Linked DNA regions of Drosophila melanogaster. Changing the gene in region 4 together with the main gene of any one other region gives a genetic interaction. Each region holds a gene or a part of one and is shown on either strand. Other genes may lie near its edges. The genes, in order: sd, kibra, Herc4 and sav.

Region 1 (7,375 bases), on a different chromosome or scaffold from region 4:
AAATGTATGTACTATGCGCATTAAAAAAAAACGAGTGGATTTGTTCATAAATTAGATTGAAGCTTTCGCCACACATAAAAAGTAAGATTTCCCAACTTCTCTGCCCATTGGAAAGGAAACGCATTTGGCGATTGCCTCCGCGCCCACGAGCAAATTAAAATTCTTTGCAAATGAATAGAAACTTAAATAGTTTCAACACACCATTGTTTACGTTTTCGTTTAGTGAATATTTGGAAAGGGTTGAACGGCATTAAGCAGTGCGGATTGGATTCGAACATCCCCGGTGGACGGTGGACTCGATGAAAAATATTTGGCGCAGCTAAGGGATGGTGTATTCGCGTAGGGTATTCGAGGGTATGCTGTGTCTGTGGAACACCATGTAACAGGTACAGAGGATAGACTCTATTATATTACTAGGCAAGCCAGACTGCAATGGTTTTTCAATTCGAAAATAGTACTTTTCAATTGACAAATAGTATTGTAGTGCTGATAAACATTACGCTTGCGAGTGTGCAAAACTTTTTGAAAAAGGTAATGAGTATTCAAAGAGTCGAGATACTCTTGCTCTTAGTCGATTTTAATTAAATGTTCAACGCTTTAGCATTATTGAAACTCGAATGACAAGAAAGAAACCAATAAGATTTAGGTATATTTGAATATTTTCAAAAGAATCAAAGCATCTGCATATATCCCACTGAATTGAGCATCAGATGCCAATCCACTCACCCGATAACTCCTTGAATTCCTCGAGGGAATCTAAATGATTTGAGAAGGGCGCCACTGTAAAGCCGATATCGCTGGTGATATTCCAAAATAAGATTCAAAAAACTCTTATGGGCTCTTTTTTTTTCGAATACGAAGAAAATCGTTTCAGTCAAACATATCACTGCTGAGTGTGCACACGTACGAGTCTATATACATATCTATCGAATCATTATAATTTCAATTATTTTGTAATTTATTTTTGTTTTGTATTCGCCTTGCTTCTTCCACACAGCGTGAAAAAAAAAAAAAACAATCCCGGACGGCAGCGGCAAAGAAACAAAAACTAAAATGCGTCTGGTTAAGAGAAACGCGCACGTCAAACTGAAATGTGCCGTATAGTTTCCACATATTTCTATTCTTTGTTTTGGCCGGTTCCTTTTCTGCCCCTGGTGTTTCGCCCATATAAACCTATAGGGATGGTTGCTCTAGGCATTCGTATTCGTGAGACAGCGGATAGAATGCAGTGTGGCACATACCCTCGCAGCGTACTATTGATAGAATAAAATAGAATGGAAGTAGAAGCCTTCAAATAGCCAGCCTGCAGTGTGGGGCGTCAAGTGAGAGTCTGGGTCAGCAGGGGTATGATATGGTATGGTATGGTATAGTATGGTATGGCATGGTATGGTATGGTATAGTCTATAGTCTAGCATAGGTAAAGGTGTGCTACGGAACTTCAGACAGGGGGCGAGTCAACACTATCAAGGATCAGAGGCATGGTATGCTATGGTATCCATATATGATATGATAAGGAATAGAATGTTATAGTGTAAGGTATGGAATATATGGTATAATAGGCAATAGTAGTTTGTAGTCAGCTATGTAGCTTGCAATGGTAGTTAGTAGAGTAAATAATGGTATAGTACTGCATAGTTAATCTGCTATATTAAGAAGAAACTGGACTTAGTTCAGTTTAATAAAGTATGGTATAGATGGGTGTAGTTAATAATAGAATGGCGTCGTATGGAAGCAGTTCGCCAGTATCCAGGACAAGTCGGGACAGTTCGATCCCAGTTCTATCCTAGGCACAATACCAGAATTTCCCGAAACGGAAACGACTGTATGTTTGGCTATCAAAAAAGTAGAATGCATATTGCACAGCTTGGAAATGCATGGCGCAGTGCAGGGGTTGGGATCGTTTTAGGGGGTGAATGTGCCATTTTTCATAATCTCGTAAGCACTCCACGCACACAAACACACACACACACACACACACACTCACACACAAAAGGACGAAAAGGAGTGTAATGAAACGGACAAAATAGCTGAACCGTGCATTAATATTATCACATGGCATTTCAGAATTTCTGAATTCAAACAGCAGCGGTTCAGTTCGGGATAATTTCCAATTAGAAAAACTAGAAACAGACTTTCCTACGCTTGAACTCAATTTCCGCCTCGAAAACTCAACACGCAGCTGCTCGTTCTGTTCAGTTCTGTTCGGTTTTAATAAGGGAATGTGTGTTCTTTTTCCTGCCTTTTCCATTCCTACCCTTAGAAGCCGCAATTTTGTTGTGCGGCAATTGGAATTTATGGTATGCATTCTGCTTTTTCATTTTCTTTATGTATGCCCCGTCGCATACACATACATAATGTACATACATATATATATATCCGCTTATACATACATATACATACATACATATATAAACGAAGAATGTGCCTGGATGGGATGGTAAGGAGCTCGATGATGACGTACTTAGCGCACTCAGGATCAAAGTTGGGATCCGCAATCCCTACACAGCCAAACGCACTTTGACTTTCAGCAGAAAACCGTAACAGGTAAAAATTATTGTTCGTATCTTTTTAGTGACAAATAATATAAAAGGACAGTGCAATGCATTATCAAATTATTGACAATATGTTTAGTATAGCATATATATCCTATATTCGTGTGAAGGTGCTATCAAAAGGATAATCTTTTGGTTACATAAAATACAGATCAATACACATGATGTAGAGATCATTTTTTAGGTCTTCAAATTATTCCCAAGTCAATAGAGTTTTATAGGAAATTAAGGTGGCGATTCTAACCCTATAAAGTGTACAAATATATTTTCAATCAGCATAACGATCTGTAAAAAATTTTAATTATTCACAATTGCACTATAGAACTTAAACTGTCTTAAGCGAAACACTGTACACGTATTAATTCATTGATTATTCATAGGGCATATAGAGTTCGGTGCGCTGCCCTTTCATTATTTCAACCCCTAAAGCAACGCACTCCCATTTTCTGCTGCCGAAAATCTTTAGAAGTCAGCACAAACGAATTTGCAACCTGGCAAAGGTTAAAAAGGAATTTCTGTGAGGTGCAACGACAAAATAATTAATAATAAATCTTTTGTCCTCTTAGCTTTTAATGAAATTATGTGAGGTAATGTTAATAATGAACATAAAGGAATAATGAAATTACGAAATACTTTTCTAAGAGCAAGTGTTTAAGAACAGGCAGCTAGAAAATAGACAACAAATGTGCGAAGGAAGTGAAAACTAGAATGGTTCATTAGATATATTTACGATTTTGATCGGATATAGGATATTTTAAGCTAAAACAGGTGACTAAACTTTAAATTTTCCGAAAGCCTTTTGAAGTTTATATAGTTCAAATATTGTTGGAAAATTACGTACGTTTAACTTAACATAGGAAATTTAAGGCAGAAAACCATAATTGTGTAAAGAACTCATAATTTGCTAAAAGTTCTTCAAATTTATCATTCATTGATATGCTGGAAATTGAGTAAGTACTTACTTATTGAGTAAGTAACGCAGCAGTCATAAGAACGATCGGTCAACTAAATGGGCTGAGCTTGCTGTTTTTTTTTTTAAGTAACTGCGATTAACTTTATCACAATCGGATATGTTTTCGTTGCTCTTAAAGATATTCGCCAATGACTCATGACATACTCATTCCGTAGGCTACAGAAGCCCATAGCTGTGATAGCAACTGGTCATATACCAACGTGAGTAATACATTTTGGTTGTAACTCGTAGAGTATATGGTGTTCGGCTTGTCCAAGTTGACTTTTTCATTGTTTTCACTTCATTTTCTTTTATCACTTATCAATAGTTGCGTTGTTTGCAGAAAGGTATTACGATATTATTGTAAATATACACAGCTCATTTAGAAAATTCATTTCGTAGAATGCGATTCAGAAGTAAAAATAGTAAGTGAATTATTGTAGTTTTGCTTGAAAGTTTTTGTTTAAAACCGACAAGTTGCGAACAAGTGTTGTGGCAAACAATGCCCACAAGTATACCAAATCTTTTTCAGGTTTTTTTTTTTAATGATTCCAATAGGACATTCAGCTATTCGATTAGTCTTCGTTGCTCACTATTGCCAGTAAAGTAATAAAAATAAAAGTATATGTCCATATGTACATATATCTTTTCATAATGTGTATCTATGTATATGTGAACAGCAGACAAGTTGATGGCTCTTAAACTGAGGTAATAAATATATCGTAAAACAGCAGATCGCGTGGACATGTCAACATATTTCGCCAAAATCCAGATCGACAAAATCCGTATGTATATGATTTTTTTGTGCTGCGAATTGTCTCCCACACTGCATTTACAAGCTTCTGGCCAAAAATAAGATTATGCAATGCTGTGCAAAATGAACAACACATGCGAGAAAAGCTCTTTTCGAAATCCGCTCGGTTGGCAAAATATTTTCGAGCTAACCCCCCCCCCCCCCCCCATTCATCTTATAAGAACCACTGTGTTATCTTAAACCTGACTAATCCATTGAATTATTCATCTTGGCAATCGAAAGTTGGTGGCAGCTTGCCCTCTCTTTTCGGATTTAGAACGCTTAGATTTAGATTTGGGTATGTATGTATGTATGTATGTATGTATGTATGGTTTACATGTACGATATGTATGAGATATGTGCAGATGGGTGGAGAGTTTACTCTATAGCGATGGAGAGAAGGTGCCCTGCAGTTCAGGTCTCCGTTTTCGGGTGACTTTCTCAAATGAAAACCCGCCATGCATGTGCATGTGCTTTGCATTGAGAACCCACGAGGAAAGTCACCAAAGAAAAACCAGAGATCGACAAACTTTTGGGCGCTGGATGTGGAGTGGGTGTGTGGGGTGGGGGTGGAGTTGTAGGTTTATGGCATAGAGTTTGGATTTACGAGGTGTGTCTTTGTATGACTGGGTAATTCGGATGGGCAACGGACCTGCCTGTTGTTCTGTCTTCTCGGCAACTTCCAACTCGCTGCAGCTCAGGTTGTTCTGCAATTGCAGCAGCCCAGTGCTGCAAGTGCTCGAGCTGGTGATGTTTTTCATGCAGCCAGCTTTTTTTTCGTAGATTTCCTTTAGGTTTCGCTATTCACGAGTATGCCCGCCCGGAGGAATAGGAATACGACTTCGAGTACGAGAACGAGTACGGAACGAGTGCGGTACGAGTACGGTGCGTTGTCCACTTAGTTTACGGAATTAAAAGAAATCTGTTCGCGCTAGATTTAGACTCTGATGTCACCGTCTCCACCAACAACATCAAACGTTGTTGTCGTCTCCGGCTGGTCAAAGGCAAGGCACTCACTCTTGTTATTATTATTAGCTTGTAACAGTAACTGTTTTTCAGCTTTTCAGTTTTTCAGGCTCTGCGCTGGGCGTGTTATTATCTATGTCGTTGATAACACGATGGAGCGGTTTGTTAATTTATATTATACATGTGTACAAGTTATGGCAGCGTCTTTGAACGGGTCCGTTGACGGGGGCGGGGGGTTTGTGCTGACTTTCAAACGAAAACCGAACAAATGAAACCCTTTCGCTTTGGATTATGTGGCTCATTCGATACTTGTTTTTGCACTACTTTACTTTTCGATTCTACGCGTGCACACACATGCAAACTCGCAATACTTACTCACATCTGCAATAATTCATGAATTGGTTCGGAGTTCTTAGGAAGTGAGAAAGATCTTTTTCGGATTCCGTTAAAGTTAAACAGGCAACACACACACACACATCTGCATCTTCTCAATCTCACTCTATTCTCGCTCTCCCGCTCTCATCGCTCTCCCGATATATGTACATATATATATAACTGTGTATTTTGTATGAGCAGCTTTGTACAATATCGTGGTCTTTGTGAAAGTGAGAATGTGTCAGTAAGCCTTTCAGTGGAAATAAGGCGCAGCTGCGGCAATAAGATGAAGAAAGAAGAATGGCCACCGGAGAGCCAACTATTGATGGGATAGGTTTGGTTTAGACTTTTTCCTACACTTCGTTAGTTAATGGAGAAGCTCGTAATTGAGATGGGGCTCCTAGGCGATGACGATTCTGATTCTAATTCCGATTCTGTTTCTGGTGATGAAGAAGACGATGACGATGACGATGGTATCCCGTACATGTGTATTTTCTCATCTGCTTGGGGCCTAAGCAAATAGTCTGTTTTTCTGCACAAGTGCAATTCTAATTGCATGCATGTGTGTGCACATGTGTGTATTCGCGTTTATGGGTGTGCAAAAGCGTACGCACATGTGTGCAAGCACATGTACATCTGTATTTAGATATGTATTTTTATGAAATTTTGATTTTTTTGATTTCTTTTTTCATTTTTCTTTTTTTTGGTGTGCCACCTAGAGGCATAGGATATTATGCTTATAAAGCTACACACGTCCATATCTTGCGATGCCCTCCTCCCCTCCCCACACACGCCTACTGTTTATAAGATAGATATAAGAAATAGATAAAACAAAAAGACCAAAGAGAGCGCAAACGAACGAGCGAGCGAGAAGGTGAAACAAAAAAGTGGCCACATCTTAAGATACATTTTCTTTAAATCTTTCCCATACAGATATTACAAACACAAAACAGAACAAAATTAAAAAAAAAAAAAAACAAAAAAAAAAAAGAAGCAGGAAAAAAACCAGAAGAGGCAGCAGAATATCCAAAATTGCAAATGAAAATCGCTTTTAATAATCTTAAAAACCCACGCACACTTTTACAGCCGCTCACGGCTGTACGAAGCAAAAAAAAAAGGGGGGCGAGGCGTCTGCGGCGGTGGCAACGGCAACGGGGGGCGCACTCACAATACACCACACACAACAACGAGGCAAACGAAACAACGATGACGACAACGAAAAATCGCGGAAACACTGCGAAAAACGCAACGCGCAGAAGCGAGAGAAACTCATCGACTGAATCCAAATTCGAATCAATACAAAGAACGACGCCGACGTCAGCGTCGATAACACACCATAGCTGGTCGGTCGGGTCTGGTTGATGTTGTTGCCGTTGTTGCTGTTGTTGTTTGGCTGGATTCGTGCCGTTGTTGTTGGCTTGCTTGGCCTGGCTAACTCAACTTTAACTCATTCTCTGCAAAATACAGCAAGAGCAGCAGCAGCAGCAGCAACAACAACAATGTGGAGGACTGCCAGCATAACTATAACTGGTGGATCTGGTTGTTTAGTTTCAGTTTCCTAACACAAGTGATGACTACACTGGCCATAACACATACACACACACACACACGCGCGCGCGCAGAATACAACCCGATCAAAACCCAGAAAACAGCACTATATCACCTACACAAGTGCATCCTACACACGCACACACACCCAGAATTGTGGGGCTAGAAGCAGAGCAAGAGCGTGAGAGC
Region 2 (7,037 bases), 8.3 Mb from region 4:
CTGGCAGCACACGCATTCACGCCTCTCCCCTATTTTGCAGCTCTTGTTTCGATCGCCCGATTTGCGTTCTTTATGCAATTGGCCGATCCAGCAATCCAGCAATCCAGCAATCCGGCCATCCGGCGATCCATCGAAATCGAACCAACCGCTCGATTGTCCGCTCTCGAATTAAAATGCCACAGGTGGAATTAGAACGCAACAATCTGGTTGGGACTAGAGTACACAGCGAGAAATATGGCAACATACTGATGATAAGGTTAAGTTAATGTAGTAAGATATACCAATGAACTGACTCATTTATTAGAATACCGTTGCACCGTTTCTTGCGGTGCACCTATTGCTTTTTTATATCTTTTTCTGTGCTACCGATCGGATGCAGATACTCAAGTACAGCCCCCGCCGCTGGCGCCACTCTGTCCGACTTATGACAGCGATCGTTAACCGCTTTCGCTAGGCCTTTTTGGCGGCGATTTGAGTTTATGTAAAACAAACGAGTTCGAATCACTATCCCAACTGGTAGCCAAACGATTTTGTTGCTATTTCATACTTTGATTTTTTCCCCGTGCTTTTTTGGTTATTTCTTTTTTTTGTAGCTCCTATGAATAGATCGAAATACTGTCACCAAACACGTTTTCTGTCTAAAAACGCACACGAAAAATATTCCACTATGTCGCCGCCTTGTTTATGGCTAAACAATTGGTAAAAAAAATAATACACAAAAACTTGCGAAAAAATATGAGCAACGAAAGAAGAAGACGGGCGTCGAAAAAATGCCAAATCGCATGGCCAAGTCAAGTCGTTGTTAACTTTTGTTTATACAAAAAACAAAAGAGAGCCAACAGCAACGAAAATCACAAAAAATACCGCCCGTCGAAATGCTGTATGAACATTTACTTAAGTTGAATACGCTGCGAATTTTAAAATCCATTATTTTGATCAGTCATTTTATTAGTTTACAGACAAAAGTCATCTAATTAATTGATTGAATCTTACACGATTTACTATCTAATGAGGATAATGCCTAAACTTAAGCCGAATTTGAAAATTATAGACATTACAAACAGAATCTACTGTTAAACTATTGCAAACATGTTTATTTAATTTTAGAAAACCTTAGAAAAACCTGCGTCAAAGCCGGCCCAAGCAATTATCGGTAAAATATTTCAAGGGTATCGATAATTCGACCTTGCATGCTCATATTGGAATAGATATTTATTTTTTCTGTGATTTCTGTTGGCTGTGCTCGAAACGTGGCGAGGCCTTTAAAGGTTGCCCGAGGCCTGGCTCGCTTCGCTTTATTGTAGAAATTTATTTATGGTTTATTGGAATTTTTGCGCGCTACCGGCAGCAATTTTGAAAATTCAATAGCAATAGCAAGTTGGATGCGGGGGATCGATAGACAGCCGAAGAGGGGACCAAAAAGCGTATATGATTTGGATACAAAATATGCGCGACTGGGCAAAATACCAATAAGGGGTGTATACAGCATTAAATAGTTTTGTTTGGTCAATAGAAATGGTAAAACTATTTTGGAAAAATATGGAATAGTTAGTTAAATTCGAAGACATACTTTGCAGATGTATACAGAAAATACCAATAAAACATTTACTCTTGTTTTTATTTCTTATATTCTATGGTATCCCTCTTCATAATCTGATTGGTTTTTCAAATAGTAAGTAAATCCCCTAAGGTCATTTAAGCTTTAAATTTCTATAACCCCGAAATCGGAACGTAACGCTCATAGATCGCTGACTTTTTGTGCCCACTGGCAGACATTTGAACGACATGTGTGCATTTATAATCTACTTGATGCATAACCCTAGCAAATGCGCAGATGTTTCGTTTCAATTTCAAAGGCGGGCGGGCGGAAGAGCTGAAATTCCACAACGCTTAATTCAGTGAAACATTTTCAACAATGTCCATGCGATTTGAAACAAACAAAGGGAATGTTTGTGTTAATTGAAAGCGTGAAGCGCACACAGCACCAAACGAACTGAAACAATAAGGCGTACACAGATAGAAATGCACTGGAAAAAATTAATATTCAAGCTTTGATGGCTTAATAAATCATTTGCAACGTGATATTGAAATTATAGAGTGTGTCTAATGTCAATGAAAATGCTGTACAACTGCAGAAAGGCAATAAGCATTTGCTATCGAGCAATTGAAGATACAAAATCCATCTAACACTACACATTTCTCTATCTGTGAAAAGCGAAAAATTGAACTCAGCGAAAGAGAGGGCGAAGAATTTCAGAAATCAATTATTTCGAAACTGCAAAAATTCCTACGTACATTTTGCAATTGTTTATGGGCAAAGCAACAGACAGAGATGGCGAGTGGGGCGGCAGCGAGGGGCGCGAGCGAGATGGAAGACAAAAAATGTGAGCGAACGGCAAACTAAAATGTATCTATGAGATACATGGCCTGATCGCCAGCGCTCTCGCTCGCTCTCCTTTGGCTCTCTCGCACTCATTACGTATGAGTTTGTTGGTTTTGTTTTCCTTTTATTTTACAGATCATTCGCCGAGCTTTATTTAACTTTTGCTCTCTCTCACTCGAATTTTTGTTGTTGTATTTCCCTGGCTTTACAATCCATTTTTTGTTTGTTGCCACTCTCTGTTCAGTTCAGTTATATTCGGAGTCTTAATCATCGCATCGGAATGTTTACTCCAAGTTTTTCCCCCGTTCCGTTGCGTTTTGTTTTGCCTGCTGCCGCTGCTGTCTTGTTTAAAATATGTAATTTATTTTGCTGCTGCCTCTTTATTTTATTTTCCTTTTATTTTTCTTTTTTTTTTTTGCTTCATTTCGCCTCCACCGATCGCATTCCTTTACACACACAGCTGCAGCACGCACCTTTTCTTTCCGGTTCAAGAGCGCTTCGGAATCGGAATTTATATGGGTTTTTTTTTTAGCTCGTTTGCCGGAGCTTCCTGAATGAGTGAACTGCTGATCTCTCACCTGCGTTTTATGCCTTCTTAAGCCACTAACAACTTGCCAAGAATTTTATTCTATTTTAATTTGATTCTCAATGAGTTATCTGCTTCACTTATTAGCCATTAAGCAGCAATTGGGGTTTATAAGCACTCTTGATAGTTTGCGATGTTAAAGCATCTATAACTTATTTAAAACACAACCTGTTGGTTTGGTCATTCGTTATGTATGCCTCATTTCTGATAATTGTTCTAGTAGTTTTAATAAGTTTAAACTAACTTTCCAAATGCAAATATCTTATAATTATATTTCAGATCGCCCTTGTTTCAATTTCGTTTCTTTAATTGACCCTTTCCGGAACACTTACCAATCTCTGGGATCCAGCCAGGTGGTCTTCTTGTTGATATGATCTATGTAATAGGTCTTGCCATCGAAATCCTTGGCGATATCCCAGCCATCGGGAAGTGGGAAGTCGCTGTGGTGTTGTTGCTGCTGCTGATGATGCGTGTGTTGTTGTTGTTGCTGTTGTTGATGATGATGATGATGTTGCTGTTGCTGCTGTTGGGGTCGCAGGTGGTGGGGATGCAGATGATGCTGCGATTGCGATGCGGTTTGTTGCAGATTCGGCATTTTAACTTTGTTTCTCGCCGTGTACTTTGGTTAGTCTGAGAAAACGTCGTTGTTGCTGGATTTTTCACCCGACGCGCGCCTTTTCTTTCTTTTCGCTATTGCTATCTACGTTTGCTTCTTTTTTCGGGGGGTTTCTCTTTGCGCTGTTTACATTAGCAAAGACATTTCAATTCCGTTTCTTTTGCTCCGGCGATAATGGAGACCGACCCGCACACACACACACACAACACGGCCACACGGTGACGGGCGTAGAGGCACACACCGAGCCAACTCGAATACACACGCGCGCAGGGGAGAGAGAGCGGGAGAGCGCGGGCGCGCTCTCAATTATTTATTTACTTTTTTCGTAACTGCATTCCATTCCAGCTCAAACACACGCACACATATGGGGGACGAACACAAGCGCACACGATCACTGCTCACAGTTGGTGCTGCTTCTTTTCATTTCTTGTTGTTGCAAGCGTTTGAACTCCTTTACTTATTTTCTTATTTTCGCCTAATTGAAACTAATTAACGACGATAATCCAACCATCCACTTGGTGTTCACAAAAAAATATGTACTTCAGTTTAGTGAGTTCGCGCCGTCGCCGATCTCTTCGGTTCCGGAATTCCTTGGGGGAGCAGCAAAAAACACGAGTAGCGCGCTTGATGACCGTCCGATTCGGATTCGGAATTTGTTTTGGTAACATTCGCTGCTAGTGGTGTAGCAGAAAACATCGCATTGCATATCGATACACTCGCGGCGATGTTATTCGATGTATTGGTTGATATCGATATTATAGGCTGTATTGACGCGGTTGCAGAGATGCGATATTTAACAATCATGCACGAAAAGTATTTATTGTTATTTGGCTTGTGTAGTCCCCAAGCATAGGTGTAATTGTTGAGGGAAGAAAATAGGAGTTGTACGTTCAAAGATCGGCTTGGTAACAGGAACTAGTTCGGTTCTTCAAGCGATGTTAATCAAAGCCAGTTCCGATAGATCATGTTAACTCGCTCTGTTAACAATTACTGTTATCTTAATCCTAACATTTCCGTTACATTTTAAAAACAGAAAAAGAAAAAATTTAAAAAAAAAGACTGTAAACTGAGTTACGCATTTCGAAATCAATATGTATCCCAACCATAGATAGAAAAATAAATTATGTTTCCGAAACATAACTTCAATAAAACCACAATTTCGCTTGCTTTGTACGTTTGATATTGTATTTGCATTTTATGAATTGTAAAAATTGAGTCAACAAGACTAACACAGCTTCAGCTCAAGACACATGCAATTTCATTGACATTGTTTAATTGTATATATTAAAGGAAATCAATTAGGATATAAAGAGAGAAACCTTTTTGCCGCTTATGCGATGCCAACTATCTGGATCTGGATTGTCTAACACGAAACCCTAACTAATTGGTAAATTAAACATAAATTAATCATATCGGTCAACAACTACAACTAAATATTAGTTATTAGCGGATAAAGAGCGCCCCATAAACTATTTACACTAAGCTTTAGTCTACTAGAGTCCCGGATTCCATCTCCGCTCCTCGGATCTTCGGATCTTAACTCAGATGTTCGGATCTTCAAGTTCTAGGAGAGAACTGGTGCAGTGCATCCGTTATTCAGGCGATACTCGGCATAGACCAGTCCGGTGTTGTGCCAGTGATAGAAGGCGGCCACGATGATCAGGTGCCACCAGTTGTGCGAATGCCCAACGAAGTCCACCTTGCCGGTGAACCAGCGCTCCGGAATCTTGGCCGCATAGAAAACGAAGGCGACGAGGCAGAGCAAGTACATGAGCACGATGCGGGGCACCATCAGCTGCAAATGGTAATGATTGATGGATTAGCAAATGACAAGATTCCATAAATTTCCAACTGATGCCTACCCTGACTAGCTCGTTCTCCAGACCGCCCATGGCCACCGCCCAGTGGCCCAGAGGTATGATTCCATAGGCAGACCAGAGTAGCAGCACCGCCACCTTGCCGTTCATGGACACATTCAAACGGGGTATCTGCACGGCAATGGCCAGTGCGAACATGCCCAGTGCAATCGTGGAGTACAGGGTGCGCAGGAAGGTGTGGCACCAGAAGGCATAGTACATGCCACTGATATAGATGGCCACCAGCGACAGCGAAATGCCCAGGAAGTCAACGGACAGAAAGAGCTCGTAGTGCTCCTCCGATTTGCAGGAGAAGATGTGGTATATGGCGGACATCAGCATGCACAGACAGAAGCAGACCAGCAGGCAGACCACCAGCACCTGGTCGCTCAGGGAGGCGTGGAGGCGCAGGAACTGCAGATCGAAGATGGTCAGTCCAATGAACAGGATGCAACCGGCCAGATGGCTCCAGATGTTGATCTATGAAAAATATAGCAATAATAATGTTATAATAATAGGGAATAGAGTTTAAGGAAAACTATTGTAGCTCCAATTGGAATGGAGTATCATTCTAGTGTGGCAATCTTACCGTCTCATTGGTCCACCAGAAAATGCTCTGCAGGCACATTTTTGTGGAAGGTAGAAAGGTGCGGTATCCGCGACGAATGTACGGGTTGAACTTCAGGTGACTGGGGGCCTGTATCGAAAGCACAAGTGAATAAACATTCCAAATAAATACAAAATTTTCCAAGCCGATAAGACATGCAAATCGCATGCGTGTAGCATTGAAAATAAAATAAAAACCAAATAGACAAAATGACAAAATAAAATAGAAACAAACGGAATAATTCGAGGATCTGGCACCCCGCCGAATGTAAAAAAAAAAAACCAAAAAGCTTTCCATTTGCTTCAATTGAAAGAAAATAAAACTAATTAATCCAATTTGTGTTGTTAGCAATCTTGTATGGGAATTGATTAAATGCCAAATACTGTGTATATTATTTACTTTCTTTGAATTTAACTAGCTAAGTTTTATATATTATAAAAAATCCATTTAATTAGTTAAACAAGTGCTAAGCTAGTTTTGCACTGCATTTATGTATTATTACCTTAATTAATGCCTTTCAATCGGAAACAGTAATTATTTCAAGCCCGTTTTAAGCCCAGTTCGAAGTCGAATATTTAACTTGGTCAAAACTAAGCATGGTCCGAAAAACCCAAGAAATTCGATTCGGGAGTTACCTTGAGGATTTTCACAAACATATATGTATGTAACTTGCATACCACCCAAAGAAAACAACAGTAGCTTCTTTTTATTTGCCACCGCTATTTAAATATTTAATGCCCGCGAAGCACAGAGCTTTTTATTTGTTGCTAGTCGCGACCTTGATTCAGTTGGCATTTGGTGGGTTTGTTCGTTGTCTAATTGTATTATTTGGCAATTGCTGCCAACTCGACCGCCATGGCGGATTTCACATATTTAAGCGTTTTGGCCATTTTACAACGGTCGCTTAATAATGCTTTTCTGGCCATACATACATACGTATGACGATAACAATTGGCCAAAATCAGTGTTAAAGCCATGTAAAATGCAAT
Region 3 (9,225 bases), on a different chromosome or scaffold from region 4:
TACCAAAATTCGGGTTTTCGTGATACGCTTGGTTTTCCAATTCGTTTCTTTTGGGTGCCAAGTGTGAGGCAATGACATTGGGGGCAATGCTTTGTGCACTCGAAAAAAGGTGTTCTACAATCGCCTCTAGTCTAGCTTCAATACCATTAAGTACTTTAAAAGTGAGCAGATCCCAGATATTTTAAGACTACAGGTAGGTATTTGACAATATTATTATATTGTTGCGAGCTTGTATTTGAACAGCTGCCAGATTTGGCGAATCATTCGGTTTCGTTTTCGATCCATTGCAGTTGGTTATTTTTAAGCGGCTTATTGCCGCTGTTTTCAAAACTGGGTCAAATTAATGGAGGGCCGTCGCAGTGTGGAAACGAAATTGAAATTTGATACAATTTCAATTGGTCAGCGAGTAGGCAAGCGGAGCAAGGGGATACATCCCCGCCAGCTATATCCACCGATTACTCATGTCTCCCCCATAGCCAAACACATACGCCCTGTTGACCCTCTTTGTGTGCCCCGCCTGTTTGTTCCTGCTATAAAACCTGGGCAAACAAGCTCATCCCCGGGGAGCGAGGGACAGGTGAACCCCCCCAGCCAGTTTACAAATATCCTCGCAGACGATGTGTGGAGTGAAGACCCAGGAAGCGAACGGAGGAGCGAGCGAAGCGGCGAAATTGAGGTGCCGGTGCCTAAACGCTCGCTTTATTAGAGGAGCATCACAATAAACCAGATCTCTTCGATTGCGGTGGCTGCTGCACTGGGAGAATCATCTTCCCATATTATTTATTATTTCAAAGAACCGATCATGAAAAAGCACCCTTGATTATCATTGAAAGTTGTTAGGAAAGTTAGAAACTGCGTAAACCATTTGCATTTATGAGTTAAACTAATCCTTGAGGAAACGTTTCTCGCAGTGCATTCCTGCTTTTGTTGCTCTTTTGTGCCGCCGCTGTGGCTTTTGTTGCGTTTGGTGTCCAAGTTCAAATCGTGCAAAGGAAAGAAAGCAGCGGAAGACGCTGCACAGATCACGACCACGGGCAAACCGGCAGAACCGCTTTTTTCGTATTTTTTCTTTGCTAACTTTTTTTTTTGAGTTATACACTCATGTGCGCGGCATGGTATCGCTGGATTTTGTGGCCCGGACATTTGTTAGCTGTCAGGATATGCAAAAGTTGCGATGGTAATTGATTTTGTAGGCCAGCTCGCCTCGTTCGCGGCATATAAAGCGAATTAAGAAGTTTGAGATGGACAAGCGACCAGGATGGCACACATGTAATTGCAAACTGGGGGCCTAAGTACCCATAATTTCACAAACTGTCGCCCGAAGTCGTTACTTTTTTGTGGTCGCAGTGCTCTACCTGTTTGAATTTCTTTTCCGATGCGGGTACCGTTAGCTTGACCCGGTAAAGGTGACGTTTGGACAACGTTTGTTGTAAGCGAATTGGTGTTGGTGGATAATTTGAAGAAGCGGGGCTAGGACGGCATATATGCGCGCAGTTTTCGAAATCGGTCGGTTGGTTAATGTCAAGCACCGCACGCCCAGCGCATGCAAATGAGCGTCCGAAAAAGTTCTCGGCGGCGAATGAAGAAATTAACGAACGAAATCCGCACGCGGCCGCGCACCTTGCCAAAGTTGAAGTTGAACTGACTTCGACGACTTCGATTTGCCGCCACATTTCGGGCTCAGCTGTGCGCCAACGGTGCTGCCAACGCGGCTCGTTTCCGGACAGAAGCGAAGCTATCGTTATCGGGTTTAAAGCTTAACCGTTACTGCGATCAATGAAAATAACAATATATAAGCCATATTATATAACTTTATTGGTAAAAGTTACACGGAAATTTAGACATTTGTTGTTGTCCTCAGACTGATGCACCAACCTTATTTACCTCCTTGAATTCCTTTCTCTCCATAACAATGCGATATTAATAACTAGTCTAGAGTTTAAAGCTATAACACGACATTGTACTTGCTGATTTGATCGCTGATAAATGAGTGTTCCACGTTGGGGTTGTCTTTGAAAGTAGCCAATTTTCATTCTTCAATCCAAAATGCGCGAAATCCGAAGATTTCGGAAAATACCTGTAGTTTGAGGTCGATGTAAAAAAATGGGTCCAGATCAGATCGATCAGACCAGGCTGAAGCCCTGCGTCTGCTGGATGGCCTGTAGCAGCTTGTACTTGAGGCGCTCCTTGGTCTTGTAGCGCGGCAGATCCAGCAGATTGAAGCACGTGTGCGCCACGGGCAGGAATCGTTCGTCCGGGGTGGGTTGAATGGTGAGCTAAATCGGTACGGATACGGTAAAGGACACACTTTGCAATATAGGTATAATCTAAGAACTCACTTTAAGGGCTTTCATGCCCTGGATGGGAATGCGATCGCTGCCAGTTAAAAAGAGGAGAAAACTCTTCTTTTCCGCCTCGGACATGTCATGAATAACCTCCCAGAACCATTTGATCTGCGGCAGATACAAGGTTAATGTCTAGGAAGACCATCTTTAGTTTACAACTCACTGTATCATCGACCGAAGTGTAGCCCTCCCGGTACTCGCAGTTGTCTTGAAGCGCCTGCCAGTCGTAATCCTCATTTCCCACCACCACGGCCATCAGCTCCTCCGGCTGGAATATGTGAATCACGCGGCCAGAGCACACCTTCATAAAGCCCTTGTGAAACGCATTGTAGTGCAGCTCGACGGACTTGTTGAATACGAAGTCAACATAGAGATCCACAAACTCCTGCCTGAAGTTGGATAATAGTTAGCACAGGTGCCGCAACAGAAATGGTCACTACACTCACCTGTTTTCCAGTGTTACGGCTATCTCATTGCCGTTGGGCTTAAGGCACTTCGTCTCCGCCTCCCCGAATACATCCCGCGATATCTCAAAGGTCAGATCGAAGACTTCCTTAAAATCGTCGCCCTGGTAGTCGAGCAGCGATTGCATGGAGTTGGCCTCCGGAGGGGAAAGCTGACGGAGATCACTGAGATCCACTGGCTTGCCCAGCAGCTTTTTGAACAGAGCCAGTGGGAATGGCAAGTTGATGATGGTGAAGTTATAGATGGCCAGACCGCAGAGAACGCCAATTAGGAAGTACATGTTTTCCGTCTCGAAGGTGAGATCTGCAAACCAGAGCAGACGCGACTGCTCGTACTCCTTAAACATACCGTACTTGGGATCGAGCAGATCCTTGAGCAGCAACATGAAGAACTCCTTGCGCACGCCACCCGCGTCCTCCGCCTCCTCGCCATGGAACTTGATTTTCAGCGGCTTCTTAAGATCACTCTGCGAATAATGCTGCAACTCTCGAAGGGAATCCTGCACCAGATTCTCACGCGTCACGTTGAGCACAATGAACTGCGAGATGGGCATCCCGTAGTTGAAAAAGGAGAATGCCTGCTGGATAAAAAAGTAGTTATTAACTCATAAATCATTTCTGTTCGGCGTCATTAACCCACCATGGTAGCCGCATTGGCCATGGCGGAGTGCATCTGGAGCGCCTGATCCGCTTGGAGTAACGCTGTTTTAGCAGACTGGTCGAAAATGAATGAATAGTTGCAAATATTGAAATCTCTGGCAGTGTCGGCCATGATCCATTTAACGTACTCCTGCTGCACGTCTGCATAATCCGAAAGATCAGGCCAGTAAAAGATTTGATAGTTTAGGCGATCATGGCGCTCGTTGTTAATTTGGCAGAGCGTTTTCATCAGCTTTAGAATGATCTCGAGTTCAGTGTTATATGGCAGCAGCTAGATTATGAATAGAGAATTAATTGACACTGGTATGGCCCTATATTGAAATCTAAATACCTGTTGACGTCTTTCGGCGCTGGGACTAGCGGCAGCCAAGCCCATTTTGAAACTTATAATATGGATGACAACATGCAAGAAGTTCTGGACAAGATGCTCGAAGTATTCAGCCGGTGTTTGGGCCAACCACTTGTTCAGCACTTTCCGTGGGTTCTCTGCTAGCTTAAATATGGCATTGGCAAACGGAACCTGCAGTGACTTGTAGTGCTTGGAGTTGACGAACTCGTGGTAAAGTGGGAGCAGAAGATATAATCGCATGCTCTCCACATCTGCCGGTGAGCAAACCAGCGAACCAACTAGCTCCTTGGTTATATTGTCCCAGATCTGAAAACAATGAAATGATTAAAACAGATACCAATGATGCTTGTAATGGCGAAAACTTACCACCTGCCTAATGCTTTCATTTTCCACAGCGCGCAGATTGTCGAATGCTAGTTGGGCTGCTTTCAGATCCAGTCCATGGTTGCGAACCGAGCATCCAAAGTGTCGGTCGTGATCCAGCAGAAAGGAACCATTCCAACACGCCTGGCTTCTAAATATTAGTTCAATAGAGCTCAGTAGATCCATGTCGCTTTGAAGGCCCTGCTTGCATTGAGCACACTGCTTGGTGACTTCTGCTGTTAGGGTTAGGATCTGGGATTTGGGGCTGCAAAGTAGATATATGTTTATAGTTTTATATGTTTATACTAAAGTAACACGCTTCTATAGTTACTTGTAGTTTCTGAAATCCTCGGGCGGCACCTTGTCTACAAACAAAGTTGTGGTCACAATCGACTGATCGCCACCTGAGAAAATCTGTCGGATGACCAACGAGACCTGTGAATCATTGGATTGCAACAGGGCTGATCCGCTGGGCGACACCCAAGGACCGATGACCACCTGCGGCAGCATCAGGCTCTTGGTACTCCTCGTGCCCAGCTGCCCAGAGCTACCCAAGCCAAAGGCATAAACTCTGCCGCGCGATGGAACAAGCGCCAGAGTGTGCCGATTGCCACAGGCCACCTGAGTGATGGTGCTGCCCATTAGCTCCATTACCATTCGCGGTAGCATCTCATTCGAGCTAAAGCCATGACCCAACTGCCCATAGGCGCCAGCTCCACAGGTGAACACCCCTCCCTCGTTGGTCAGAAAAACGGAGAACTCATCGCCGCAGGCCACAAATCGCACGCCCAGGGTGCGCAGCGTTTTCAGCTGGGTGGGATACGAGCGGTTCGTTTCGTCATTCAGTCCCAGTTGCCCGCAGTTGTTTCTGCCCCATCCGAACACCGCACCGGACTTGGAGATGAGGAACGAGTGATTGCCTCCACAGGCAATTGCGGCCAGCGGAATTCCCAGCAGAGTGGTTAGTCGGAGGGGATAGTTGCAATGTGTCAAATCATTGGGGGAGTTCACGCCCAGCTGACCGTAGATGTTGGAACCCCATGAATACAGCTCGCCACCTAGAAACGTCAAGGATGATGTTAGTCGGAAGGTATCGTTGTTTAGCTTTAGATAAGAATTGTTTAGTAATGCCCTAAACTTGGGAAATACAATTATCTTATCTTGTTTCAAGTAGTTCTGATGTGTATCTGTGTATCTAGTGAATGGAATCCATTAAATTTCACTCCATACTTACAACTGGTCAGTGCCAAGCTGTGATTGTTGCCGCAGGCGATCTGCACCACCGTCTTTGTGACCAGTTGCCGCACAACCTTGGGCAGCTGCACGATCTCCTTATCGGTGGCATGGCCCAGCTGGCCGCAGTCGTTGTCGCCCCAGCTTAAGACCTGGCCCCAATCGGAGAGCGCCAATGAGTGGCGGCTGCCGCAGCAGATCTGGATGATCACGTAATCCTGCAGTTCGGGGATAAGCACTGCAAAAAGTCGGCCGGAAGATGATTGCGGGGTTTAGACTCGGTTCACAGCAGTGGCTCGCGTAGTTGGTGAGTATGGAGATGAGGTGGAGTTAGTGGAGAGTGGACAGACAAGACGATAAATGAAGATTACATACGAAATGGCGACATACGTGGCCTTTTGGTGGGCAGATCGTGGCCCAGCTGGGAGTAGTCGTTGCTCCCGCAAGCGTAGACTTTTCCAGTGGCGGTCAGAAAGAGAGTGTGTCGGTGTCCACAGGCGACCTGCTGTACAGCAGTGTCCGGTGTCCAGGGTATCTGACTAGGTGTGAGGATCTGTGAGGAAATCAATGGCATACAAAAGTAATATCAGTGGGCTTATATCCGAAAGTCATCTATCTACCTGCTCGTCCTCGATTCCGCCAAGTCCCAATTGACCATGTGACGTGCTTCCCCAGCAATAGAGCTCTTTGCCAGATGCCATTGCTCTGGATCCGCCCAATAGCTCCTTCGGTTGTTCTGGGTATAATAATTTACTTGTTGGTGCTACAAGAATTTTCGAGAATGTCCCCAATTGTTAGCTACATTCTTTTGTGTCCACTTGCTCCCGATTCCAATTGCTCGGTTCATGCCTCGTCAAGCTTTCGATGGGTGTGCCTTCAGAATCTAAGTCTAATCCTGAATCCTGTTACCTACAACGCTCTATAAATTTTAGGCCTTCTAGAAAAAAAATATAAAAACTCAAAAACCAGCAACAAAAAACCAATAAATAATGGTGGCGATGCCAACTGGTTGGGATAGGGCCACATTGCCCACGTTGGCAGCCCTGACAATGGGCTTAAGCTAGGGCTGCATCGCTTGCGGACTTTTAAGATCCGCTTTGAAAAACCTTAAGATCGGATAATTCTCTAGAACTTATGCTGAACACGAATATCAAAATGTTTTCTCAATTTTTTCCGAAAAAAGAAACAATTTGCGATTTTACATATAAGTTTTGGTTAATAAAAAATGTATACGTAGGTAACTAATGTTAGGGAGTACTTTCGAATATTTAATGATGATAGGTAAAAGTTAATATGAAATTTATAAAAGCTTCTAGTACTGTAAAGAGATATCAATAGGTTGACAAATAATAATTTACGCCATAGTATTTTTTTTAAAGTTAATGCATTTTGGTTTTTTTCTTTTTTAAACAAAATTATCTACACTTTTTCTCTGTCTGAGCAATCGTTATCATGGTAAGTATCCGCTAATATAGAACATCTGATTTTGGCATAGCTTGCCGCCCTGGTTTCTGTATCAGCCGTTTTTAAGCCGCTGAACTTGTGACCTTTGTCCATTCTTGCTGGAAACAATTGGCCGAAACACATAGCAGTGTTTATCAGAGCTATCAACCCTGGGGATAAACCGCGCCAATCCTCAAGATTTGAAACTCGTGAAAGGCTGCAGCCGAGGTGGTTGGACAAAGGAAAACCGGTTGCCACGGGGATTAGACAACTCATCGCGTGTGAAAAGAGTGGGATCAACACAGGTGCCGATTGATTTTCAGCGCAGTTTGCCACGCCAACAGCAGCGGAAAATATGCAGGAGGCCTACGTCAACATCAACTCCATTCCCACCCACATATTCACATGGGGCAGGTGGATTGAGGAGACCATAACCGAGAAGGAGATCGTCATCTGCATAACTGGCAATCCCGGTTTGCCAGGTTTCTACACAGAGTTCGCAGGCACTTTGCAAAAGGAGTTGGGCGATCTTCCAGTTTGGGTGATAGGTGAGTGTGCTGGCGTTTCCACATTGAGTCGGTAATAGCACACTTGATGTTCCCTCCAGGGCACGCTGGCCATGATGATCCGCCAGAGGCCAGTATTCGGGAGGTTCCTCAACTCAGCGGCAACGAGGAGCTCTTCAATTTGGACGGACAAATCCGGCATAAAATCGCCTTCATCGAGAAATACGTGCCAAGTGATGTCAAGATCCACTTGATTGGGCACTCCATCGGAGCGTGGATGATCCTGCAGCTGCTGGAAAACGAGCGGATACGGAGTCGCATCCAAAAGTGCTATATGCTGTTCCCCACCGTCGAGCGGATGATGGAGTCGCCCAATGGATGGGTGTTCACCAAGGTGGCCATGCCCCTGTACTCCGTGTTTGGCTACATTTTCTTCAGCTTCTTCAACTTTCTGCCCGTGTGGTTGCGCCTGATGCTGATACAGATCTACTTCTTGATTTTCTCCATTCCACGACAGTTTCTGGGCACCGCCCTAAAGTACTCCAAACCATCGGTAGCGGAGAAGGTGGTCTTCCTGGCCGACGATGAGATGGCCAGGGTTCGCGGGATTCAAAGGGAGATTGTAGAGCAGAACCTGGACCTCCTCAAGTTTTACTACGGCACTACCGACGGATGGGTACCAATCTCCTACTATGACCAGCTCAAAAAAGACTACCCCAAGGTGGACGCCCAGCTGGACACCAAGAAGATCGACCACGCTTTCGTCCTGCGCCACTCGCAGCCTATGGCTGTAATCGTAAGAGACATGATCCAGCAGCACAGACGTGTTTGAAGTCGATTGTTGACCTGGCCCAGACAATCAGCCCTGTCCATTACCTAATCCATCCATGCCAATAGACTTGGGAATCCGGATTACGGTTGAACAGCAAACCAATAGCAATTACTCCACTGCCTTTGTGTGGCAATTAGTTCGTTTTTATTAGTATCTTTTTGCAGCTCTCGAAGACAACTCTAAATATAGTCAAAAGTGATTTAACACGGTTGAGAGGTGCGTTATTTTTCCGGGGACCCTGATCTGCTACGGGATTCGGACTTGGATCGGCTGCCAGAGCGAGAGCGGGATCTTGAACCCGACGGCGAGCGGGATCTCGAGCGGGAACCGGACTTTGAGCGCGATCTCGAACGGGATCCCGACTTGGAGCGAGACCTCGATCGAGATCCGGACTTGGATCGAGATCTTGAACGGGAACTCGACTTGGAGCGAGCACGGGACCCAGATCTATCCGATTCCCCGCCAGATTCGATGCGATTCCTGGCGCGCTTCCGCTTAGTTGCTTCATCACTGTCACTCCCAGATCCAGATCCACTTCTGCTCCTGCTGCGCTTGCGGCTAGCCTCGCGATCACTGCCGCTTCTAGAGGCACTGCCACTTCGGCTACCACTGCGATTTCGACTCCTGCTTCTACTTCTGCTCTTGCTGCGCTTGCCGTCAGACTCGGATTCGCTGGTGGAGATCGTCTCCTTGGAAAGCACCTTGAGGCGCTGCTTGGCAGAAAGCTTCTCCTTGGACTCTTTAACCGGCTTCGGCTTCTTGCCCTTCTTCTTTCCCGACTTGCCACTGGCACCTGGCTCTTCCTCGCTGTCGCTCTCGTACTTCTCCGTTTTGCGCTTGCGACCGCCACCCTTTTTGCGTTCCCCCTTGCCCTTCTTCTTCGAGGGACGTTCTCCCTCACGACGAGCTCCATCGTTATCGCTTTCGGTACCGGAGATGTAGTCATCTTTACGACCTCGCCCACCACCCTTCTTGCGTTCCTTTTCAGGTGGAGCGTCCGCAATGATGAGCATGTTCTTGGTCTTCTCCA
Region 4 (7,508 bases):
TTCCTTATTCCGCAGTCCGGGTTTTTTGCACCCGCGATGAGATGACCATTAAGTACAATCCCAAGGACTGGTTCGTCGGCAAGATCTATGCCAGCATGCACTCCAAGGACTGCCTGGCCAGAGGATCGGGCAATGGGAGTGTTCTGCTGACGCTCCAGATCGGCAGCGAGGTAAAGGAGAACCGCTGTGGCATCCTGCGTGCCTACGAAATGACACAGGAATACCAAAGGTAAGATGAAGTCCAATGTCCAGTCCATTTTTTTAATTATATCATTTGCATTATTTAGAACGTTCATATCTGCTCTGGTGGTCATCCAAAACAATCCAAATGTGCAAACCCAGGGCGACCGGCTCATCAAGGTTGGCTGTATACAGAGCAATGCCACCACATCGCTGGGCGTTTCGGTTCGGGACAGCAGTGTGGATAGCTCAGAGCCTGTGCCCAGCGCCATTGCACTGGAGTCCTCATTGGAGTACACAGAACAGTGAGTGTATTCTTAATAGAATCCCTCAAAATGCTTAATTCTATCACAATCGATACCTGCAGCATGTTCCCACACGAGGGTGTGGTTCACTACAACAGCAGCACTGGGCCCCATCCGCATCCCAGCATCTCGCTTCAGATTTTGGATCTATCCCACCAGCACGAGACCAACGACGTGCAGATTGGACAGAACCTGGAACTACAGATTGTGGCGGAGTACAGCCCACAGCAGTTGGCAGAGCACATGGAGTTGCAGCTGGCACCACTACCCGACTTTCGTGCTACCTCGCTGGTGGCCAAGACAGCGGACAATGAGAACTTTGTGCTGCTGATCGACGAGCGAGGATGTCCCACAGATGCCAGTGTGTTTCCCGCTTTGGAAAGGGTACACACAGCCAGCAGGAGCATGTTGCGCGCTCGCTTCCATGCCTTCAAGTTCTCAGGAACGGCCAACGTAAGCTTCGATGTAAAGATTCGCTTCTGCGTGGAGCGCTGCTCGCCCAGCAATTGTATTAGTTCATCCTGGCAACGGAGAAGGCGACAGGCTGACCAACCAGATCGTAGACCGGAAGACCTACGAGTTCAGAACCCCGTGTACATCTCCACGGTGGTGGATGTGGCTCCGCAACCAGACAACTTTACCAGATCGCAGGAGGAATTGCCCCTCAACTACAATATCCGGGTGCACGGTCCGGACCAGAGCAACACCAATAGTTATCTGTACGGCGAGCGGGGAGTGCTGCTCATTGCTGGCATAGACGACCCGCTGCACCTGGATAACGTTTGCATCAACCAGAGCCTGCTGATTGCACTGTTCATCTTCTGGCTGATCTGTCAAGTTGCCCTGCTCTTCGGCTGTGGAATGGTGCTGCAGCGCTACCGCCGGCTGGCCAAGCTCGAGGATGAGCGACGCAGGCTGCACGAGGAGTACCTGGAGGCGAGGAGAGTCCACTGGGCGGATCAAGGCGGATACACACTCTAATTGACGGCTGGAACGCAATGCGTATAAAATGCATCTTAATTTAATAAACATAAATCTAACATAAATCTAACAAATGTTTGCAACCGAGGATAAGTTCAGGAGTTCTTCTTGGGATGGTAGTGCTCCCACTTGCGATGGTTTAGCGAATTGAAATCCGGGCAGTGGTGAGCGATTTTGCGCAAATAGTCGGACAACTTGAGCAGCTCGGTGTCCGTGCCACGGTTGAGATGAGCCTGACGGAATGGGCGGATCTTTAGGCCGGACTTTGGGTTCATAAGGAAGTTGCGACGGATGTCATCAAACATGATAGTGTTGCTCGAGTTGTATTGCTTGTACAGGGCCCAGATTACACCAAGCGGCTTTACGTCCACCACACCGCGCTCCGGCACATGAACTGATATCATGGCGGTGGAGTCCAGATAGAACATCACCTTGTAGTTATCGTTACTGGCCACGCCCAGCAGGCGCATCTTTTCCTCGATCCAGCGCATGCTGGTGGCGGACCAGATGACAATGTCGTAGTCCTCGTAGGCGGAAGTCAGAAACTCGTGCAGATACGGACGCATTAGCTCCGTGCCTGTTTCAGCAGGCGATCGGTGATCGAATAGGGTATAGTCTATGTCCAGGACAAGCAGCTTCTTGCCCTCACGCGGCGGCGCTAACTCCTTGATCTTGTAGTCTCGCACACGACGCTGCACCTTGGCCAAATAGACGGCGGAGTGCTCCACGGACTCTTCGCGTTCATCGGCGTCATCGAAGTCGTCGACCACTTCGCCAATATTATCGGGCAGGCTGCACGCATCCTCGATATCGGCCTCTGTGGAGCCCACCATCATAAGCTTAAAGTTGGGCTTCAGCTCCAAAGCGCTGATCTTCACATTGTCGGCTGCTGTCTTTCCTGCAAGTCATTGGATCTTAAAACTGAAATATCCCGAAGCCTAGGAGTGTCACGCACCTTTGTACTTCAGGTTGAGCAGCTTTTGACGTTCCGGACGCACCTGTGTCTTGCGGAATATCTCGTGACGCAGCACTTCCACGGTGTCCTGGTCGGTGAGGTCCACCGGGTACTCCTTACCACTCCATTTTACAATCACTACCACTTCTTTGACCTCCATCTTAGCTGGTTTCTATTCCGCTATTAATTTATCACACCATATATGGTAATGTATGTTTGTTGGATAGAATCCAGCAAGTGGTTTGCAATAGTGTACCTTAAAGATATTAACTAATTTATTAGAAGACCATATAAACAGTCGAGTTGTCAGAAGTCGATAGATACTATCGATTGCAACGCCCGGCGTTATCGATTGCAATCGGCTTGCAATAAAAATAATGATTTTTTGATTATATTTTTCAGAGATTATTAAAAAATATTTTAAATTTTTTAAAATTATATATTTAGCAATTAAAGAAAGTCATGCAAAGACATGAGGAATGTCCCCAAGTTGCCAATAGGCGATTGTTTCGCCAGTTCATTGGCCACACTGGTCACCAGCTGAAAACACAAAAACCGATCGTACAGCATAAATTTAGCTCGAAAATGGACTAAACAAAGACAGCGATCCGGAATCCGAGCGGAAACATAGTCTGCATGAACTATCTAACGATCCTGCTGTGCAACCGAAAACCGACGATGCTCTCGCGCCGGAACAAGGAGAAGTCCCAGCACAAGGAGGGCGTGGTGGGGAAGTACATGAAGAAGGACACCCCACCGGATATTTCGGTGATCAATGTGTGGAGCGATCAGCGGGCCAAGAAGAAATCGCTGCAGCGCTGTGCGAGCACCTCGCCCAGCTGCGAGTTCCATCCGCGCAGCTCGAGCACCAGTCGGAACACCTACTCCTGCACGGACTCGCAGCCGGACTACTACCATGCTCGACGAGCACAGAGCCAGATGCCCCTGCAGCAGCACTCCCACTCGCATCCTCACTCTCTGCCCCACCCCTCCCATCCGCATGTGCGTAGTCATCCTCCCCTGCCGCCCCACCAGTTCCGCGCCAGCAGCAATCAGTTGAGTCAGAACAGCAGCAACTACGTTAATTTCGAGCAGATCGAGCGGATGCGCCGTCAGCAGTCGTCGCCACTGCTGCAGACCACATCATCGCCGGCGCCGGGAGCCGGAGGATTCCAGCGCAGCTACTCCACCACCCAGCGGCAGCATCATCCCCATCTGGGTGGTGACAGCTACGATGCAGATCAGGGCCTGCTAAGCGCCTCCTATGCCAACATGTTGCAACTGCCCCAGCGGCCACACTCGCCCGCTCACTACGCCGTCCCGCCGCAGCAGCAGCAGCATCCACAGATTCATCAACAGCACGCCTCGACGCCGTTTGGCTCCACGCTGCGGTTCGATCGAGCTGCCATGTCCATCAGGGAGCGACAGCCCAGGTATCAGCCAACTAGGTAAACTGCCTCTTGAAGTACTATATTTGAATAGATAGCGCGCGATTGATAAAGTGGGTAGAGATAATATGAGCAGCTCTTGATTAAAGGAATAATCCGTAAAAACTACATATTGTCAAAAAGTGCTTAATATTATTATAACTTTTAAACAATGACAATGCACGAAATGTTTTATTTTCGAAACATTTATTGTTCAAAGATTTTTTATTTGATAACAGATTGCTTTATTTATTTACAATAAGAAAAGTTGATGTACAAAACCGGTTTCTACTCGCCTTACAATAATTAAAACAATAACACAATATATGATTTTCTGTACGAGGAATATAATGGAATATATATGATATATACAACATTTTTAAACACATTTTCTCTTCTGTTTCCACAGCTCTCCGATGCAGCAGCAACAACAACAACAACAACAGCAGCAGCAGCAGCTGCAGCACACACAACTGGCAGCTCACCTGGGCGGCAGCTACTCCAGCGATTCGTACCCGATCTACGAGAATCCGTCCCGCGTCATCTCGATGCGCGCCACGCAGTCGCAGCGATCGGAGTCGCCCATCTACAGCAATACGACGGCCTCGTCGGCCACGCTGGCCGTGGTTCCGCAGCATCATCATCAGGGTCACCTGGCGGTGCCATCTGGAAGCGGGGGAGGATCCCTGAGCGGCAGCGGTCGTGGTGGCAGTTCTGGCAGTGTTCGCGGCGCCTCTACCTCAGTGCAATCACTGTACGTCCCACCGCGAACTCCGCCCAGTGCGGTTGCCGGAGCGGGAGGCAGTGCCAATGGGTCGCTGCAGAAGGTACCATCACAGCAATCGCTCACGGAGCCCGAGGAGCTGCCTCTGCCGCCCGGCTGGGCCACTCAGTACACGCTACACGGTCGGAAATACTATATTGATCACAATGCGCATACCACGCACTGGAATCATCCGTTGGAGCGCGAAGGTCTGCCGGTGGGCTGGCGGCGGGTGGTGTCCAAGATGCATGGCACCTACTATGAGAACCAGTATACCGGGCAGAGCCAACGTCAGCATCCATGCTTGACCTCCTACTATGTCTACACGACGTCTGCGGAGCCACCGAAAGCGATTCGACCAGAGGCGTCGCTCTATGCCCCACCCACGCACACTCACAATGCACTGGTGCCGGCCAATCCCTATCTGCTCGAGGAGATCCCCAAGTGGTTGGCCGTCTACTCGGAGGCGGACTCGTCCAAGGACCACCTGCTGCAGTTCAACATGTTTAGCCTGCCGGAGCTGGAGGGCTTCGACAGCATGCTGGTGCGGCTCTTCAAGCAGGAACTGGGCACCATCGTGGGCTTCTACGAGCGCTACCGGTAAGTGAGCGGCCACATGCCGCTGCATTCTCCGCTCTCCGAAAAGCCACTACTCTCTTGTTACACCTTTCAGTCGCGCTTTGATACTCGAGAAGAATCGACGCGCCGGCCAGAACCAGAACCAAAACCAGTGACCCGGTGACCAGGTGACGACTGACTCAGACCACATACTCGCCAGCAGCTATATGCACATCATAGTGCTCCTGTAATCGACCTTTAACTTATTTAACCATCGACTCATCGCGAAATCAGTGCCTTATACGAAACCAGACGAGATGGTAGCCAAGCAGATCCATGACAGTTCGAATGCCTTGATGAAACGTAGAATTGTGCTACGTTCTATATAACCTTAATGTGATTTGAGCTTGGCGTTTGTTTGTAATGTGAGCAAAGAAAATTAAACTGGTTTACTGATCATCTTACCTGCCGAGCGCAATTGTAATCGATGTGCCACCTGAAACCCCACAGGTATTTAACCTGGGAGTCCGATTCATCGACGGATGTTTTGGAAATTCAGCGCCGCGAAGTGTAAATAAAGGGCAACAGTTGGTGGCCAAGTCTTACTCGACTTGGCTTGGCACATATTTCCGAGTTCCATGCCAAGTTTTCGATTCGCTTGCAAAAATTATGCATTGGGCACAAGTGAATCGTGGCCGATTCTGTATTGGCAAAAAAAAAAACAGCGCTCCAATAGAAAGTGAATCTTATGTTTGTTTTCGTTTGGCTATGCTTATTTTTAGTCGAACCTGATAATTCATTCAGTCGCCTCTTATCGAATGCTTATAAAACTTTATAGTCACTGTTTCTGCAGGTCCCTCAAAAACAGTTTCTACTGCTGATAAGAAGTTTTCGAAGTCTGGGGAGTATTCGGCATTGGAAAGGCCAAAAGTTGTGTTTTATTATATTTTGAACATATTAAACAGGATACATAAAACGAGAGTTTTAGATTGTAATTACATTTGTCATATCTTTTGCTAAATTGATAAGTAAACAGAAAATATGACTCGATGGATATTATTGACTAATAATATATATTTAGGGGTTTGGTATGATTACTTTGTACTGTGAGATACAAGTTCGTTTGTCCCACAGATACTTTTCAATTCATAGCTTATCCTACAGATACATTTCAATTCATAGCTTATCCCGTAGATACATTTCCATTCATTGCTTATCCCACAGATACATTTTAGCATATTTTTTTTGAAATTTGAATTTGAAAAAAAAGTGTTTTTTTTTTTTTTGTTTTGAGAACTACTCGTCTTGTCAAAATATTTAACTGTTCCCGACTGAAGTGCCCACCTTTTCGGCCGCCGGGTTCTCAAGTGCAAAAATAATGTATAATAAAAAGCCAAGATACGTCGGCGGTCCGCTCTCGCCCCACTTGTTGTTGCTGCTGCCGCTGGTGCGTCGCTGCCGCTGCCGCAGTCGACGTCGACTCCATCGCTCCAATATTTAAACGGATCCATTGGATCGCGCACTCAGTCGCACTGGAGAGTCGCCATCGCAGCCATCATCATAGCATTCCATTCCACTTGTAGCCATCGGCAGTCGCTCAATCGTCAGTTGGGACACATTATTTAACTTCATTCTTAACGTGAGTGAATTGATGTGTTGGGTGGCGATCATGCATATAGCATAGGCAAACAACTGTTCTAATCCGCATTATCTTAATCACAATAATCCGGCGGCTTATACAGATGTTTTGCGTTAGCAGTTGGCGGCTAAAAGCCTCTGCTTGCCCACATGCCAGTGAAAGTTCTAATCCGGCTCAAACAGACGCACAACAAGCGTATCTCGTGCGTGGAATCATGAATGAATAAATGGGTGTTACTGTTAACTAACAATGGACCTTTTTACCAATCAATCGTCTTATCTATCACCAGAATTGAAACAGAATTAGTGAATAACTTATGGTGCATATCAGTTGAAACATGAAGATTCGTGTGAACGATCGTGAAAGATATGGTGTTCGAACTTTAAATTACCCTTGTAGTTTACCACTCTCATTAGTTTTGATTTATGTAGAACCAAAATTTGGATCGTGACTTGCGATTAGTATTGCAATCGCAGTGCATTGCCCAATCTATTGATTATCTGCAACTTGTGGCAGACTGCCGCAATAATTCGACGGACACTATCAGCTAGCTCCATTGATTGAGATAAGCCCGTTCTCACGCGGTGTTTTACACTTCTTGGCAATCGCCAAGTCACGGCCCTCGCCATATAAAAAATATAGTATGAACAATCGGGAATCTTTTGGTTTTACGATCGACCGACAAAGCCCATGTATTTCC

The links.
Region 1: of sav (region 4) and sd, changing one suppresses a phenotype caused by changing the other (phenotypic suppression), as found in Drosophila melanogaster (one study listed by BioGRID).
Region 2: of sav (region 4) and kibra, changing one suppresses a phenotype caused by changing the other (phenotypic suppression), as found in Drosophila melanogaster (one study listed by BioGRID).
Region 3: of sav (region 4) and Herc4, changing one suppresses a phenotype caused by changing the other (phenotypic suppression), as found in Drosophila melanogaster (one study listed by BioGRID).

Annotation. Positions count from the first base shown.
Region 1 is NC_004354.4:15,811,870-15,819,244, reverse strand, and holds the start of sd (scalloped), read right to left. Parts: upstream 3,947-7,375; 5' UTR 3,515-3,946; intron 1,095-3,514; exon of another isoform or gene 727-1,094; intron 1-726. UniProt on the Drosophila melanogaster protein: Transcription factor which plays a key role in the Hippo/SWH (Sav/Wts/Hpo) signaling pathway, a signaling pathway that plays a pivotal role in organ size control and tumor suppression by restricting proliferation and promoting apoptosis.
Region 2 is NT_033777.3:14,720,010-14,727,046, forward strand, and holds the start of kibra (kibra), read right to left. Parts: upstream 4,253-7,037; 5' UTR 3,565-4,252; coding exon 3,302-3,564; intron 1-3,301. Other genes in the region: CG7530 (uncharacterized protein), read right to left, coding at 5,150-5,380, 5,448-5,921, 6,031-6,138. UniProt on the Drosophila melanogaster protein: Regulator of the Hippo/SWH (Sav/Wts/Hpo) signaling pathway, a signaling pathway that plays a pivotal role in organ size control and tumor suppression by restricting proliferation and promoting apoptosis.
Region 3 is NT_037436.4:1,310,900-1,320,124, reverse strand, and holds Herc4 (HECT and RLD domain containing E3 ubiquitin ligase 4), read right to left. Parts: upstream 6,430-9,225; 5' UTR 6,217-6,429; exon of another isoform or gene 6,151-6,216; 5' UTR 6,116-6,150; coding exon 6,035-6,115; intron 5,968-6,034; coding exon 5,790-5,967; intron 5,653-5,789; coding exon 5,416-5,652; intron 5,240-5,415; coding exon 4,513-5,239; intron 4,447-4,512; coding exon 4,185-4,446; intron 4,125-4,184; coding exon 3,801-4,124; intron 3,741-3,800; coding exon 3,450-3,740; intron 3,391-3,449; coding exon of another isoform or gene 3,388-3,390; coding exon 2,792-3,387; intron 2,735-2,791; coding exon 2,509-2,734; intron 2,454-2,508; coding exon 2,340-2,453; intron 2,277-2,339; coding exon 2,124-2,276; 3' UTR 1,795-2,123; downstream 1-1,794. Other genes in the region: sturkopf, read left to right, coding at 7,213-7,405, 7,465-8,195; Ctr9, read right to left, coding at 8,417-9,225.
Region 4 is NT_033777.3:23,056,733-23,064,240, reverse strand, and holds sav (salvador), read left to right. Parts: upstream 1-2,936; 5' UTR 2,937-3,057; coding exon 3,058-3,869; intron 3,870-4,257; coding exon 4,258-5,211; intron 5,212-5,282; exon of another isoform or gene 5,283-5,284; coding exon 5,285-5,345; 3' UTR 5,346-5,632; downstream 5,633-7,508. Other genes in the region: CG17111 (uncharacterized protein), read left to right, coding at 16-229, 288-485, 548-1,466; Ublcp1 (Ubiquitin-like domain-containing C-terminal domain phosphatase 1), read right to left, coding at 1,562-2,364, 2,422-2,581. UniProt on the Drosophila melanogaster protein: Plays a key role in the Hippo/SWH (Sav/Wts/Hpo) signaling pathway, a signaling pathway that plays a pivotal role in organ size control and tumor suppression by restricting proliferation and promoting apoptosis.